Arabidopsis thaliana: one gene and its partner. The protein of the gene in region 1 interacts with the protein of each later gene in a biochemical or structural test. Each region holds a gene or a part of one and is shown on either strand. Other genes may lie near its edges.

The links. Proteins that work in one complex are often made in the same cells at the same time.
Region 2: of the proteins of BES1 (region 1) and BIN2, one has a biochemical effect on the other in vitro, tested with the Arabidopsis thaliana proteins (3 studies listed by BioGRID, with this or other methods).

Annotation. Positions count from the first base shown.
Region 1 is NC_003070.9:6,685,704-6,692,410, reverse strand, and holds BES1 (Brassinosteroid signaling positive regulator (BZR1) family protein), read right to left. Parts: upstream 3,877-6,707; 5' UTR 3,732-3,876; coding exon 3,673-3,731; exon of another isoform or gene 3,578-3,672; coding exon 3,307-3,577; intron 2,990-3,306; coding exon 2,246-2,989; 3' UTR 2,000-2,245; downstream 1-1,999. Other genes in the region: RRA3 (Nucleotide-diphospho-sugar transferase family protein), read left to right, coding at 200-370, 624-1,739; AT1G19340 (Methyltransferase MT-A70 family protein), read right to left, coding at 5,613-5,752, 5,892-5,991, 6,077-6,166, 6,260-6,437, 6,526-6,601. UniProt on the Arabidopsis thaliana protein: Positive regulator of brassinosteroid (BR) signaling. Transcription factor that activates target gene expression by binding specifically to the DNA sequence 5'-CANNTG-3'(E box) through its N-terminal domain.
Region 2 is NC_003075.7:10,294,147-10,301,151, reverse strand, and holds BIN2 (Protein kinase superfamily protein), read right to left. Parts: upstream 5,015-7,005; 5' UTR 4,679-5,014; coding exon 4,664-4,678; intron 4,627-4,663; exon of another isoform or gene 4,075-4,626; coding exon 3,982-4,074; intron 3,891-3,981; coding exon 3,558-3,890; intron 3,466-3,557; coding exon 3,391-3,465; intron 3,298-3,390; coding exon 3,241-3,297; intron 3,147-3,240; coding exon 3,006-3,146; intron 2,916-3,005; coding exon 2,865-2,915; intron 2,785-2,864; coding exon 2,689-2,784; intron 2,603-2,688; coding exon 2,519-2,602; intron 2,437-2,518; coding exon 2,239-2,436; 3' UTR 1,763-2,238; downstream 1-1,762. Other genes in the region: AT4G18720 (Transcription factor IIS protein), read right to left, coding at 1-81, 565-1,207. UniProt on the Arabidopsis thaliana protein: Negative regulator in brassinosteroid signal transduction pathway important for plant growth. May be also involved in auxin signaling pathway. Phosphorylates and increases the degradation of BZR1 and BZR2/BES1 by the proteasome.

The sequences.
Region 1 (6,707 bases):
TTCTCTCAACAACTTCAAAAGCCGGCAGGTATGACCGAGACCTCCGAAGAAAAACAGAACATTTCTAGGGTTTAACTCTGATCCACCACATTACCAAAACTTTCTTCAACTAGGTGATCAAAAAGGAGTCCTTTTTCATTTTGAGCTTCTGGGTCTTTGGCTTCTGATTTCGCTATAAGGAAGAGAAAAGTCAACGGCCATGGCGGGTCGTAGAGATAGAAGCCAACAACTCCGTGGATCTCGAATTGCGATCGCCATCCTCATCGGTATCTTTATCGGTTGCGTGTGCGCCGTTCTGTTCCCTTACGGGTTCTTCAACTCAAGCTCATCTCTCAAAGCAAGCGAACATCTTTCGAAGTCAAGCAACCAGGTACTACATAAACCTCTAAAGCTCTAATTTTTGTGGTTCTGTGGTCGAGTTTTACATAGATTGATGTTTGACTCTGCCATTATAGGTGTTATTAAGTGGTTAGTGTCTAAACATAGAAATTCTTCTTGGTGATGTGTTAGTTGGAGATTAGGGTGAAGTTTATCATGATACTGGTTTGGTTGATTACTGGATTTTGTATCTTAATTTGGAATTTAGTTGAGTGGTTTATAAATTCCACACTTGCTTTGTCTAGGTTGGATCATCAGCTTGTGAATCGCCAGAACGAGTGAAAATGCTAAAATCAGACTTTGTAACTCTCTCAGAGAAGAATGCAGAGTTAAAGAAGCAGGTCAGAGAGTTAACAGAGAAGCTACGGTTAGCGGAGCAAGGATCAGACAATGCAAGAAAACAGGTTCTAGCATTGGGAACACAGATCAAGGCTGGTCCTTTTGGAACTGTCAAGAGTCTGAGAACTAATCCAACTATTCTTCCTGATGAATCTATAAACCCAAGATTGGCAAAGATTCTAGAGGAGATTGCTGTTGATAAAGAGGTAATTGTAGCTCTTGCAAACGCAAATGTGAAAGCAATGTTGGAGGTTCAGATTGCTAGCATTAAGAGAGTGGGTATAACAAACTATCTGGTTGTTGCTTTGGACGATTACATAGAGAATTTATGTAAAGAGAACGATGTTGCGTATTACAAGAGAGATCCAGACAAGGACGTGGATACTGTTGGGAAAACTGGAGGTAACCATGCTGTCTCTGGATTGAAATTCCGTGTGTTAAGAGAGTTCTTGCAACTCGGTTATGGTGTTCTTCTCTCGGATGTGGACATTGTCTTCTTGCAGAACCCATTTAGTCATCTATACAGAGACTCTGATGTGGAGTCAATGAGTGATGGCCATGACAATCATACGGCTTATGGGTTCAATGATGTGTTTGATGAACCAGCCATGGGATGGGCTCGGTATGCTCACACTATGAGGATATGGGTTTTCAATTCCGGGTTTTTCTATTTGAGGCCTACAATTCCATCAATCGAGCTGCTTGATCGCGTGGCAGATAGACTCTCTAAGGCTAAAGTGTGGGACCAAGCGGTTTTCAACGAGGAACTGTTTTATCCTTCACATCCTGAGTACACTGCGCTACATGCATCCAAGAGAGTCATGGATATGTATGAGTTTATGAACAGTAAGGTCCTTTTCAAGACTGTAAGAAAGAATCATGAACTGAAGAAGAAAGTGAAACCAGTGATTGTTCATGTGAATTACCATCCAGATAAGCTCAATAGAATGCAAGCCGTCGTTGAGTTCTACGTTAACGGTAAGCAAGACGCGCTTGATAGCTTCCCCGATGGTTCTGAATGATTCACCTGAAAAGCAGATAGGCTAAAAAAAACTTTCCGAGTTTCTTGACATTTGTGATTCTAATATATTTCTCCCTTTTCCAATGTTTACTGCTTCATGCCTTCTACTTTCCTCTTTGTATTATGAATTTTTGTGTATCTTATGGCTAAAATCGCAAGTCTTTTTTTTCTTTCTTAACCTCTCTGATCTTGTTATTACATCCCAAGTCTTTGTTTTAGCCTCACTTGTTTTTCTCTGTTTCATCATCCGATATATAATTTACATTTCAAGCCACTTAATCATGTAATATATTTGTAATGTTTTCAAGACCTAAAAGGAATGATAATAGAAACATACATCTTAAACATTCTATCTACAAATAATGCGTTGTGAAACAAACTCACTGGTACAATGAATATCGATTCTAGAACAAGAACCAAAACCATGAACTGAATGAACAACACACTAATTCTCATTCTCCAATCCTTCCTTCCGACATGACATAACAGGTTCATGTATACTTCATCTCAACTATGAGCTTTACCATTTCCAAGCGTGAGCTCTAGATCCTCCATAGCCACATCATGGATCCTCTCCCCTTCCCATGGCTTAACTTGGCTGTTCTCAAACTTAAACTCGGAGCTTTGACCAATCTCTTGGATTGCTGCTGTGTTTGGAGACAATTGCTGTGGTGCAGGTTTCACGAGATTGAAGGTAGGCGAGGTTGGCACCATAGAGGCAGAGAATGGCTGTTGTTGTGCAAACTTTTGAAAGCTTATCCAATGACCAGAATCAACAGTGGAAGAGTCAGACTCATCACATTCAGGTATAGTAGCCGGAGCATGGAACTGGCGATGATGAGTAGGACTGGCAGGTGCAGACACCGCATAAAACGGGTAGTTCAAAGAAGTCATTGACTGTTTAGCAGCCATGGACATGGATTGTTTGGTAAAAGATTCCCAAGTAGGCAATGGTTTGGGGTTTCTAGAAGTTGGGGATGACACTGGTGGAGTGACAGGAGCACTGTTTGAGATTCTAAGTGGAGGAAGCGATGAAGGAATACCACCATTCCTGAGGAAAGGGAAGATTGTGGAGATATTGTGTGGATCACCAACTCGAGAAGGACTCGGGAATGAAGAAGAGGAAGGACTGACTTGGTAAGATAAGATGGGGCTATCAAAAGTGGAAGAAAGAGGACTTTGGTTATGGGAAGAGTAAGGAGTTGCTCGAGAAGATGATCCAGCCATGTCACCAGGTAGAGGCTTGTGTCCCTGTTGCTCATAGAACAATACCAAAAACATCACAATGTCACAATCAATCAAAAGCTAAAGGAGAGATCTAAATATAGTAACCAAGTGAAAGTAAAGCTAATTCGGTTCTCAAATTAGTAAGAAGAACCCTAAAGGTCACTTTCTCCGCAAGGAATCTCGATCCAATTTTAGAATAAAACTGAGCTTCCTCAGCTAAAAACCTCGAATTCATAGCCAAGAAAATCCCAATTTGACCAATTTCAAATCCAAATCTTCAGATTCAACAGCTAAATCATCAGATAACATCAGATCTAAGTAAAAATGCGTTTGATACTGACCTTGCGATAAGTAGTTCCGTCTTCTTCAACAACCCAACCAGCTTCAGAACAAAGAGCCTTAAGAACCTCATTGTTGTCACAATGTTTTGGAAGATTGTAGTTACCTTGAGCTCTAAGACCAGTATAAATCTTCGCCGCAACAGCTCTTCTCCGCCGCTCTCTTCTCCGATTGTTCTCCCTCTCTCTCCACGACGGTTTCCTCCTCGTCGCCATCGCTGCTGCTGCAGCTGCAGCTGACGTCGACGTTGCTCCGTCAGACGTCATCTTCTTCCTTCAACTCTCAAAACAATCCAACCACGGTTAAAAATGGAAATGGGTATTTGGATTCAGCTGAAGAAGAAGAATGAGTGAGAAGTTAGTGCTCACGAGGAATACGCTTTTTTTTTTCTTTCTTCTTCGCTGGAATTATAGAAGAATCTTTTCATTCATTATTTAAAATAAAAAAGCAAAAAGAATTCACCGTTGATTTGAGTTAAACCAGCCACGTGTCGATGATGAATGGTGAGGATAGGTGGTGGTGTACGTAACTTACAGTGTGGTTTCGCGTTTTGAAGAAGAAGTACGTTTTATGTTGTGTTTCTCTAAATCTGTGTAAGAAAAGGAGCTGATTTTATAAAGAGGAGAAAAAGATAGAGAGACATGTGGGGCCATTGTAATGAAGTGGGTCCTACACGAGTATGACCGGAAAACACACCATCTGATTGGTTTATGAGGGGATCGGCCATGTTAAATAAGAAAACAAATTGTTTTGAGCCTCATAACATTTAATGATTAGATTAATTTGTCACTATAGTATATGGATAAAAATAAAATAGTGTTTCACTATAGTATGAATAGAAGAAAATGAGTGCTTACTTTTGTCCTGACTGTTTATGTATCATGTGTTTATTCTTTAATTTTATCACATTACAAAATTATTTAGTAGATTATTTGTGAAAACGAATATACGTAAAATGGAGTGATACATGGTTTAGATTAAAAGTTAACTAAATAAACCCTTTATGAAATAGTATGGTTTTTTAGCCTTTACTTTCTATCGTATACGAGGCAACAAACTATAAAGACTCAATACATATGAGGGGAGACACTACGTACAACTAGTAAAATACCAAACCGACGGATTATATAGATTTCCAAAGAGAACTCGAGTGGAGAAGCATGGACGTGTTTGGATGTATAATTGGTATATTCAATTGTACTTTCGTAATACTTATCAACATTTTGAACTAGAAGCTCCGATCTTAGTGACAACTTGCGTTTGATAACACATGCTGATATAGTGATTCACTACTACATTTGAGATGGATTGTGTATATCAACATGACGGATGGTCAAGTTTCCGAACCAAGTTGTCTGAAAGCGAAGTTTAAGTCCTAAATTAAGTATTTGACAGTGTAGTTTGTTCATTCTATACTCGTGATATGCATTTTGTTGCGATGGTTTTGGTTTATTATTTCTTCCACTTGATGTTTTTCTTGAATAGTGGATGGAAATCGTGATTTCACAAAACTGTGTGATTGATAAAACAAAACATTCTACATCATTCTACTACTTCAAAATTTACTAAAGAGAGTCGAAAATGGAAATGTGAGGATATTCACACAACATTATTAAGTCAAACTGGAAAGCTCTATATTTGGAAATATCGTTAATTTTGTTTTGTGATTTGTAAGCATATTGTTTGATTGCTATAACAATCAGAGCCTATAATTCGGAATTATTGTTGGGACCTGCTCTTCATTGGTCATGATGATTTTCTTTAATTCTCATGTTTTTTTTTTTTTGACAATTGTATAGTTCATTGAACACAAAAGGAAAACTGGATAGTGGATTTGCCCCACAAATAGACCCATCAAAGCAGATATGATCTTCCAACGAGTAGTCACTTATTGAATTTATATTTAACACGCTTTTGCCTTTATTTTATTCATATTTTGTTGAAAAAGAAAAAGAAATCTAGTGAATAGCAGAATAGTGATACTAATATAGTATGTAATCTTACTGTACTGATAATATATTTAAATTTTATCTGAAACATCATCTGTTTATGAAAGGAAAAGGAAAAAGCTTACTAAATTGATGGTACAGTTCTGAGACAAAATAATCTTTAGTAACACTATACTTTTTTCAGGCTTACTCTAGTGTTGTCTTCTTCAAACGATGTCGTTTGCGATGAACCGAACCTTCCACTTCTTTCCAAGGGTTCTCTCCTAACTGTCCCCAGCTTGAGAATGAGTCATAGAGAAAAACGATCATGAGGGCCCAAGCCAGCCTTTTTCTTGGTTACACCCTAGGGAATGCGCCCACTAAACTTTCAAAAAGTATCTCGAGTCCTGAAAGTGAAGCGGTTCGTTTCCCCAAGAGGTCCATCCGGCAGCCATTTCCCTCGCAAATAGCTCAAGGCACCGAGCAGGTTGAGACCCGGGAGTGTGTTTCAGTAGTATATCTACACAAAGTCCAAGTGGAAACAAACAAGAATCAGGGGAGCTTTAGACCAAGAATTTGAAAAAATTGCATTATCTACTCTTGAATTTGATGAAGCCAATCGCAGAACAAAGCTGTTGAAAATATAAACATAAGAATACCTCCAATTGGGGGTTTCCTCGAAAAATCACCAGGGATGCTCATGATTATCTGGTTCTTGTCCAAGAGTTTAAAATCTGACCTCTTTTCTGATCCTGCAAGCTATGACATGTATACACAACATGGCTGTTCAAACAGAAGTTCCTTTCTCAGATTATTCAAGTGACAAAAAAATGAATTGACTTACTTCGGTAAAATGGTAGCCTAGTAGAAGGTACTCATAAGGTTTATGATGGACCAGGTCCAGGTCGCAAATCAGTGTACCATCCGGTTTCACCTGAAACATTTACATAGCAAGTATGTAAAATGTCAAGTCATATGTGCAACTCAGAAACCAAGATGGGGACTGAGAGCTGCAAGATGAGCTCACCTTTAACCAATACATTGTAGCTACATACTTAATTCCCCACGCAGGGAATAGCTCTTTCTCAACAAAACTTAGTAATTTCTCTCTATTTGTCACCCACAAAGCCACGAGAGCTCCTTCAGCATGAGCAAGCTGCTTGATCGGAAGAGATAAGAAGTATTGGTTCGGTAAAGTAGGATACCTAAAACAAAGAACCAAGAAACATTGGTCATGAACTTTCAGATACAAAAAATACTTATCCACATGCATACATTAAGTAGATAACGAACTTTGATTTCTGATGAGCACTTGCATTTTCCCAAGGCGGATCAATAACTATAAGATTGTAGCCTTCTTCAGATTTAGCTGCATATATGACATCAATAAGACTATTACATCGCCTACCGATATGATAATGACTGATCTTTTCTCACATGACTCAGGACCAATCAACAAGAACCAGAATACTCTA
Region 2 (7,005 bases), on another chromosome or scaffold:
CCTTTATCTGCGGAAACCTGAAATCTGTGTAATGCGTGGATTCATACAACGGATTTCTTCTCGAATTGGTGTACCAAGAACCTATGTACAACAACTTCATACAATGAGGATTTTGTAGCCAAAGAATGTAATTTGCAAGGAACCATTGTACAGCATTTTCTCCGGGAATTAATGGCTGCATAAGAACAATGAGTCCTAATGCGAATAGAAGACAAACATTCAAAAGAAAAAACCAAAGACCCCTTAAACTGCATAAACTGCAGAGCTCCCTCTTATGAAACGAAACACTTTGACTAGATTCTTTAAACGCAGATTTAGAAACACCATTCAATGAAGCAACTTGAAAACGATCATCGTATTGAAATTACAATCTACTAATATCTCGAGTTTGTGATAGAAAATTGACACGAATACTGATTCTATACAATAATGAAACTCATGACTAAATCTCTGCAGCTAACTAAATGATGATCATATCTGCTGATGAAAGCATCTTCACGCGACTCTCTTCCTTAAATCTTGCTCTCTCTTTAATCCTTTGAACCTCCTTCTGAATCTTCTCACTCCCCATCTCTTCCTTCTCCATCTTCACTAATCTCTCCCCACTAATCTCACCAAGTAACACTTTCCTCCTCAAATCTGGATTGTTACTATCTCCCATGTTGAACAGAATAGACCGGTACTTTGCTTTTTGAGGTCCCATGAAACAACCTAAGTTCTCAAACATTGCAGTTTCCACAGATACAGCCACAACCCAAGGATCACAAGCAGTCACTCGTGTCTTCATCTCCGTGTCAACAACCTCAGAAGCGACTTTAGCCAAAGATGTTTGTAGAATCTCACGCACTTTGTCTCGCTTTGAATCTCCAGTCTTCTTCATCGTTGCGTGCGTCGGGATCTTCACCGCAGCTTCTCTATTATCACGGCTCTTTTCTCTACCTGAAGCGTAAAAAAACTTCATCCAAAGATCCCGAAGAATCCTTCCTTCCGATCGAATTTTAGGGTTTTTGTGATCGATGAAGAATTCCAAACCCTGCCCCATGGAGGTTTTGCAGACCACGTCACAAACAAGTGACTTGGGTGCTTCCTTCAAACGATTCATGGCATCGACAAACCTCGATACCTCTGGAGAATTCTCATCACCTTTCACAGACTTAGCCGCTCTAAGTGCTGCCTCGAACAACTCCATGAACTCACGCTTCTGCATCCTTCTCTGTTTGATCGGTCTTTTGTGTACGTACGTGTTTGATCTCTCGATAATAACTAGGGTTTCAAAAGCAACGAAGGAGAAGAGAAATTAGTAAATTGTTGCGTATGGTCTCTCGATCTATCTGATGTTGTTTATATAAAGACTAAGAGTCCAAGACCAGATAGGTTTTGTTAGTTTCGGATACTTTAATTGCTTGCTATCAAAGCCTTTCCCAAATATATTTTTTTTCTAAAAGGAGATGAATTTAACCTGATATAGGTCCCGCCTTTAGAAAATGTATGGTCTTTTAACTTGAACTAACAGATATTTAAAAAAAAAAAAGAAAAAAAAAGTCATGTAATTTTCTTTTTGTTTTAAAAATCCAATAAGTAATTCAATATCTGAAATTCTGAATTAAGAATTATATATTTGTAAATTTTCATTATTTAAAAATTTCTTCGAATCTTAAAACATATAAATACATAAATCAAATTTCCATGAGAGATAAAAAAAATTCACTTATTTATTTATAGGGTATTTATATGAGTAGCGAGATATTATTTTTGTAATGATTCGTGCAATTAAATTGAGTGAAAATTTAATACAAATATACTTATGCTTAAAGCAAAACCATGTATCCATTCATGAAGTGTTTGAAAAAAAAAAAAAGTGTTTGAAAGAAGCTCCTCGTTGAAAGAGTATCACTTTGATTACATTCTTCACCTTCTGCCCAAACTTTACTATATAAAAAAACTTCTGACTAAACTCATTTACATAAGGGGGAAAGAAAGAAGAAATGAAGCAAAGAGGAGACTGTGTTTTTCACCAAACTTGAAAAGAGAAGAGAAATAAGCAGATACAACACTGGAGAGTTTTTGTTTTCGCAGATTTGGGGGAGTTGGTTTTGCTAGCAGCTGGCTTTGTCTGAACGAGTTTGAGGAGGAAAAACTTTGAATTGTGTCCTCCACGTTTGCCTTCAACTACGACCTTGTGGCTCGTGTAATGGTACATTATATATAAAAAAGTAGTTGTCTTTTGCAGGATCCCTTTTAAGTTCCAGATTGATTCAAGAAGCTTAGACCCAATTGTCTCTTGATATGGTCTGGAATCAACTTGTTGACCAGTTCAGGTGATGATCCAGCTACTTCTTGTTTGAAGTTGAAGAGAGGCGGGAAAGGCCGTCCATTTGGTAAACGAGCGTTTGGTTCTCTGAGTTCATCAAAGAACGGATGTGCACAAGCTTCGAGCTGAAATACGAGGAAACAAAATATATAGTAAGGATTCAGTTGGATTCTTAGAGACTGAAGAAACCTCAAGACCAATGCTTACCGCTGTGCATCTTAGACTTGGAGAGTATTGAAGCAGCCTTGATGCAAAATCAATCGCTTCTGGGGGCATCCTTTTGTGGAAGATCTAAACCAAAACGTAATTATGATCAGTTGATGTGTGAAGAAAGAAACTGAAACAAGAACACATGCAAAAAGAGAAAAGACACTAACCTTGTGCCAGGGATGTGCCTTTATCTGTGGAAACCTGAAATCTGTGTAATGTGGATTCATACAACGGATTTCTTCTCGAGTTGGTGTACCAAGAACCTGTGTACAACAACTATACAGTGAGGATTTTGTAGCCAAAGAATGTAATTTGCAAGGAATCATCGTTTAAAGATTCTTACTTTTATAATTTCAACGAGCTGATCCACAGCATTTTCTCCGGGAAATAATGGCTGCATAAGAACATGATATAGTCACAATGAGTCCTAATGCAAATATACACATGGAGATTGAATAAGCTGGTTACTGAAAGAATTGTTTACCTGACCAAGAAGAAGCTCAGCAAGAACACAACCAGCAGACCAGATATCAATAGAAGTTGTGTACTCAGTGGCACCAAATATGAGCTCGGGTGCACGGTAGAATCGTGAGCAGATGTAAGAAATGTTGGCTTCACCTTTAACCTGAAGCAAAAGTAAATTTCAACAGTAAATGACAAGATCACAGAAAACAACAACCGCTACAAGTCGAATGAGTTTATATGTCACAAAGTCTTACGAGCTGTTTCGCACTGCCAAAGTCACAGATTTTGACTTGATGAGTAAGAGGATCAACCTATAGAAAGAGACCAGAAGAGATACATTAAGAACGAAAGAAACAAAGGCAAGAAAAAAAACAAAGAGTTCAATCTTAAAATGTTACACATACCAGAAGATTTTGAGGCTTTAGATCTCTGTGACAAACTCCAGCAACATTGTGAATGTAAGCAAGTCCCCGGAAGATCTAACATAACAAAAGGAAGTAATATCAGCCTAAGAACAATCTTATGTACATCAACTTTGGAAATGGAAGATATGAATGTGTGTTGTTATTACCTGATACATGTAAAGTTTAACATAGACAAGAGGCATTCTTTGGTTTGCACTACTATAATGTTTCAGAACTCGATACAAGCTCTCAGGGACATACTCCATAACCAAGTTCAAGAAAAGCTCGTCTTTACTTGTAGTCGAAAAGAAGCAATGCTTCAAACAAACCACATTCGGATGATCCATCACACGCATCAACTGAAGTTCTCGGTTCTTGTATCTTCTATCTTGCAAAACCTTCTTTATCGCCACGGTTTCTCCAGTCTCCAAACATTTTGCTTGGAAAACGATCCCGAACGAGCCTGTACCAACAACTCGCTCCGCCATGTAACTAATTGTCTAACAACAACATAGAAAAATGTATTGGTAACCATCAAAATCTTGCATATACATAAAAGTGAGTCTATTTGGTTAAAAGCCTTAAAAATACCTGTTTTGGTTCACCATTTTTGCCACCGATTGTGGTGGAAATAATATGACCAGTGACTTGATCATGTCCATCAACTACAGCAGCAGGCATCTCCTGAAAGAGAAAAGCTTTAATATCAGCACAAAACCATTATCAAAAGCTAAAAGAATAATGCTTGTCTGAGAATCAAAAGTCTAAAGAAGGAAACTTTTATCCTAAAAGAGTGGTTACAAAATAACCGTTACGCAGAGTGAATCTGATTTAGTTAAAACTAAAAATATATACTTTTGTCACGCCAAAAGAATGGTAAACAAAACAAATACATATAACAAACCAAACAAGGACTAATCTATGTTCAATTATGGATCTAGCAGCTTGTATAAACTCTGGATTAATCACAGATCGAGATATATAGACATGGATCATCCCAACAGAGCTAACTTAGAAAATTCTAAGCTCAGAACTCAAAACCCTCAGAGATCTCAGGGTAAGTCAAAAAGTTAACGAAAGCTCAAAACTTTGGACAAACCCAGAACTCAAAACCGTTCAACTTCAAGAGTACTAACTAAACTAGATTTATTATCACAAAACATCTGTAAGAACAGGAATCTCAAGACAACTAATTGAAGGGTCAAATGTGGAAAAACCAAAAAACAGGATCTTCTTCTTCAAAAGACAGCAAAAGGAACACAAGCAGCTTTACCTTATCATCAGCCATGGCGATAGAGACACAGAGAGGAGAAGAGAAAAGAAAGAGAGAGAGTGGATTTGAGAGAGAGAGAACAAATGAGTTTCAATCAGTTTGGTTGGTAATGATCATTGTGGCGATAGAGAGAGAAAGGGAAGCCGCAAGATGAGAAAAGAAGGAGAGAGAAAGAACAAGACCATGTGAATCCAGCTCTTCTCTTTCTCTTTCTTTATCTATCTACTACTTTCCGTTTTCTTCGCCATCTTCTTTCGTGTTTTTTATTTGTTAAGCTACAATTACGTAAACACCCTTGAAATTGCTGGTTAATTACGCAGACACGGACTCTTTGTGGAAATTTCGTGATCAAAGGGAAGGCATCATGTACTTGTCGGTCAAATTTGAATCATGTATTCGTTTGGTTTAAGGTCTAAATTGACATTTCATGTAATCTCATAAAATGTTAGAATGCTAGAATTGTCAATGTCTCAAATTTTCACTATCATAAAGTTTATAAGAGGACTGAATATTTATCATATTCGTTGTATTTAGTTAATAAAATGAATGTAATATCACTCATTATTGTAAAAAAAATCAAAGATTAGTCAATACAAGTTAGTTTTACATTATTATAATTTGTTCACAAGTTCGACTTCAAGCAATCTCGTTATCTAGCGTTGTAAAATTTTAGTAATGGATACTTGATCAAAATATTATCATTCCAATTTCATATAAGAAATTACTTGCAATAATTTTTTTTCCAGCGGTGACTTATATATATATTCCAAATTTTGGGTCTATTTTTTTTCTTAACACAAATTTTGGGTCTATTTTTTTTCTTAACACAAATTTTGGGTTTAATAATTATATCTAAGGTATGTGTATAAATAGAAAAGATAGGGCATGATGAAATTGGAACAATATTGTCAAAGATCCAAGTTTGACCATTTGGTGGGAAAACTTCTTTTTTGACATTGATGAAAGAAAAAAGCATTTATGTTTCTTTGGGTCTTAACTTTTTAATGTTTTTATTTTATAATTAAAATTTTAGACTTAAAAATGAGCTTTAATTATTACCTAATAGTGTAGCTTTACTTATTGTGTTTGTTTTTTTCTTTATATTTGTTTATTTATTTTTCTGGAAACATCAATATTAAAATCAATGATGATAATGATAGCAGTCCTAGCATTTGCAGAAGACAACAAAAATAATATTAATATAATTTCTTTTTGTTCAATTATGCATGGGACATACATACTTTTGGCTGTATGGACGGATTTACATTGCATATTTGTGAATTATCTTCAGGCTCAATTATTTAAATGTCGATATGCGTATTATCCAATCGTATATACAATAGCAACTAGATTATAAATGTTCATATACATTCGGTTTTAGCTGAAGATGTTAAATTGTCAATGTAGTAACTAGTAATTAAGTTGTTATTTTTCTCACAAAAAACAAAGTTTAAGTTGTTATGAGTGTTTTTGGTTCTATAGAAATTAGAAATGATATTAAGATTGTCCCCAAAAAAAAATGATATTAAGTTATTGTATATCTTTCTTGTTTCATTGTACGGATTAAACAAATCCCACGATTCTTGTTATATACAATAGTGTAATACTATTGGAGTGTAGGAAAATGAATCGAACCAAAAGCGGTCTCACTCAAGAAGCTTTTAGCCCTTTTTATTTTGGTAGATAATACATGTTTGTAAATAACTACATTAGATAAAAGATTATATAAATATATTTCTGTAAGGGATCTTGAATAACTCTTGAGGTATGGGAAATCACAATAACGTGCACCATGTGACTGAGGTTCGAACCAAGGCAGAGAATGAAGAACTAATTATTCATAACAGTCATTGACGATATATTTAATTTAAAAGATTGATAACATGAAAATGAGAGGCAAAGTTAAGTATAAAGACGAGAATAATGATTGGGTTTGTACGAAACGGAAGAGAAAATCCTATAACAAAAATTCTTTTTCCTAACTAACAGCCAACCGTCGGCAAAAAGAAATGAAAAAATTTGCAGGTAACCTCTTCATAAATCATAACTTCTCGAAGCATATTCTTGCCATTTCTTCAAGCATTCCAGCTAAACTATTGTCTACCTCCGTTAGTTTTTTTTTTTGTTTTTTTGATATATGATTCATCAGTTGATCCAGTTAGTTTTACTAAAAAGTTATTGAAGTATTATAGAATTGATTTTCTTTCCAGAGGCCTGAACGATAACCTCATTGTATAACCGAGTTTCAAATGTTTTTCGACTAATGTCAAGAAATCGGTAAATTGCATGTCTAAGTTAATTTTGCTATTGAACTTGTTTCTATATGATTATTATTGTAACTT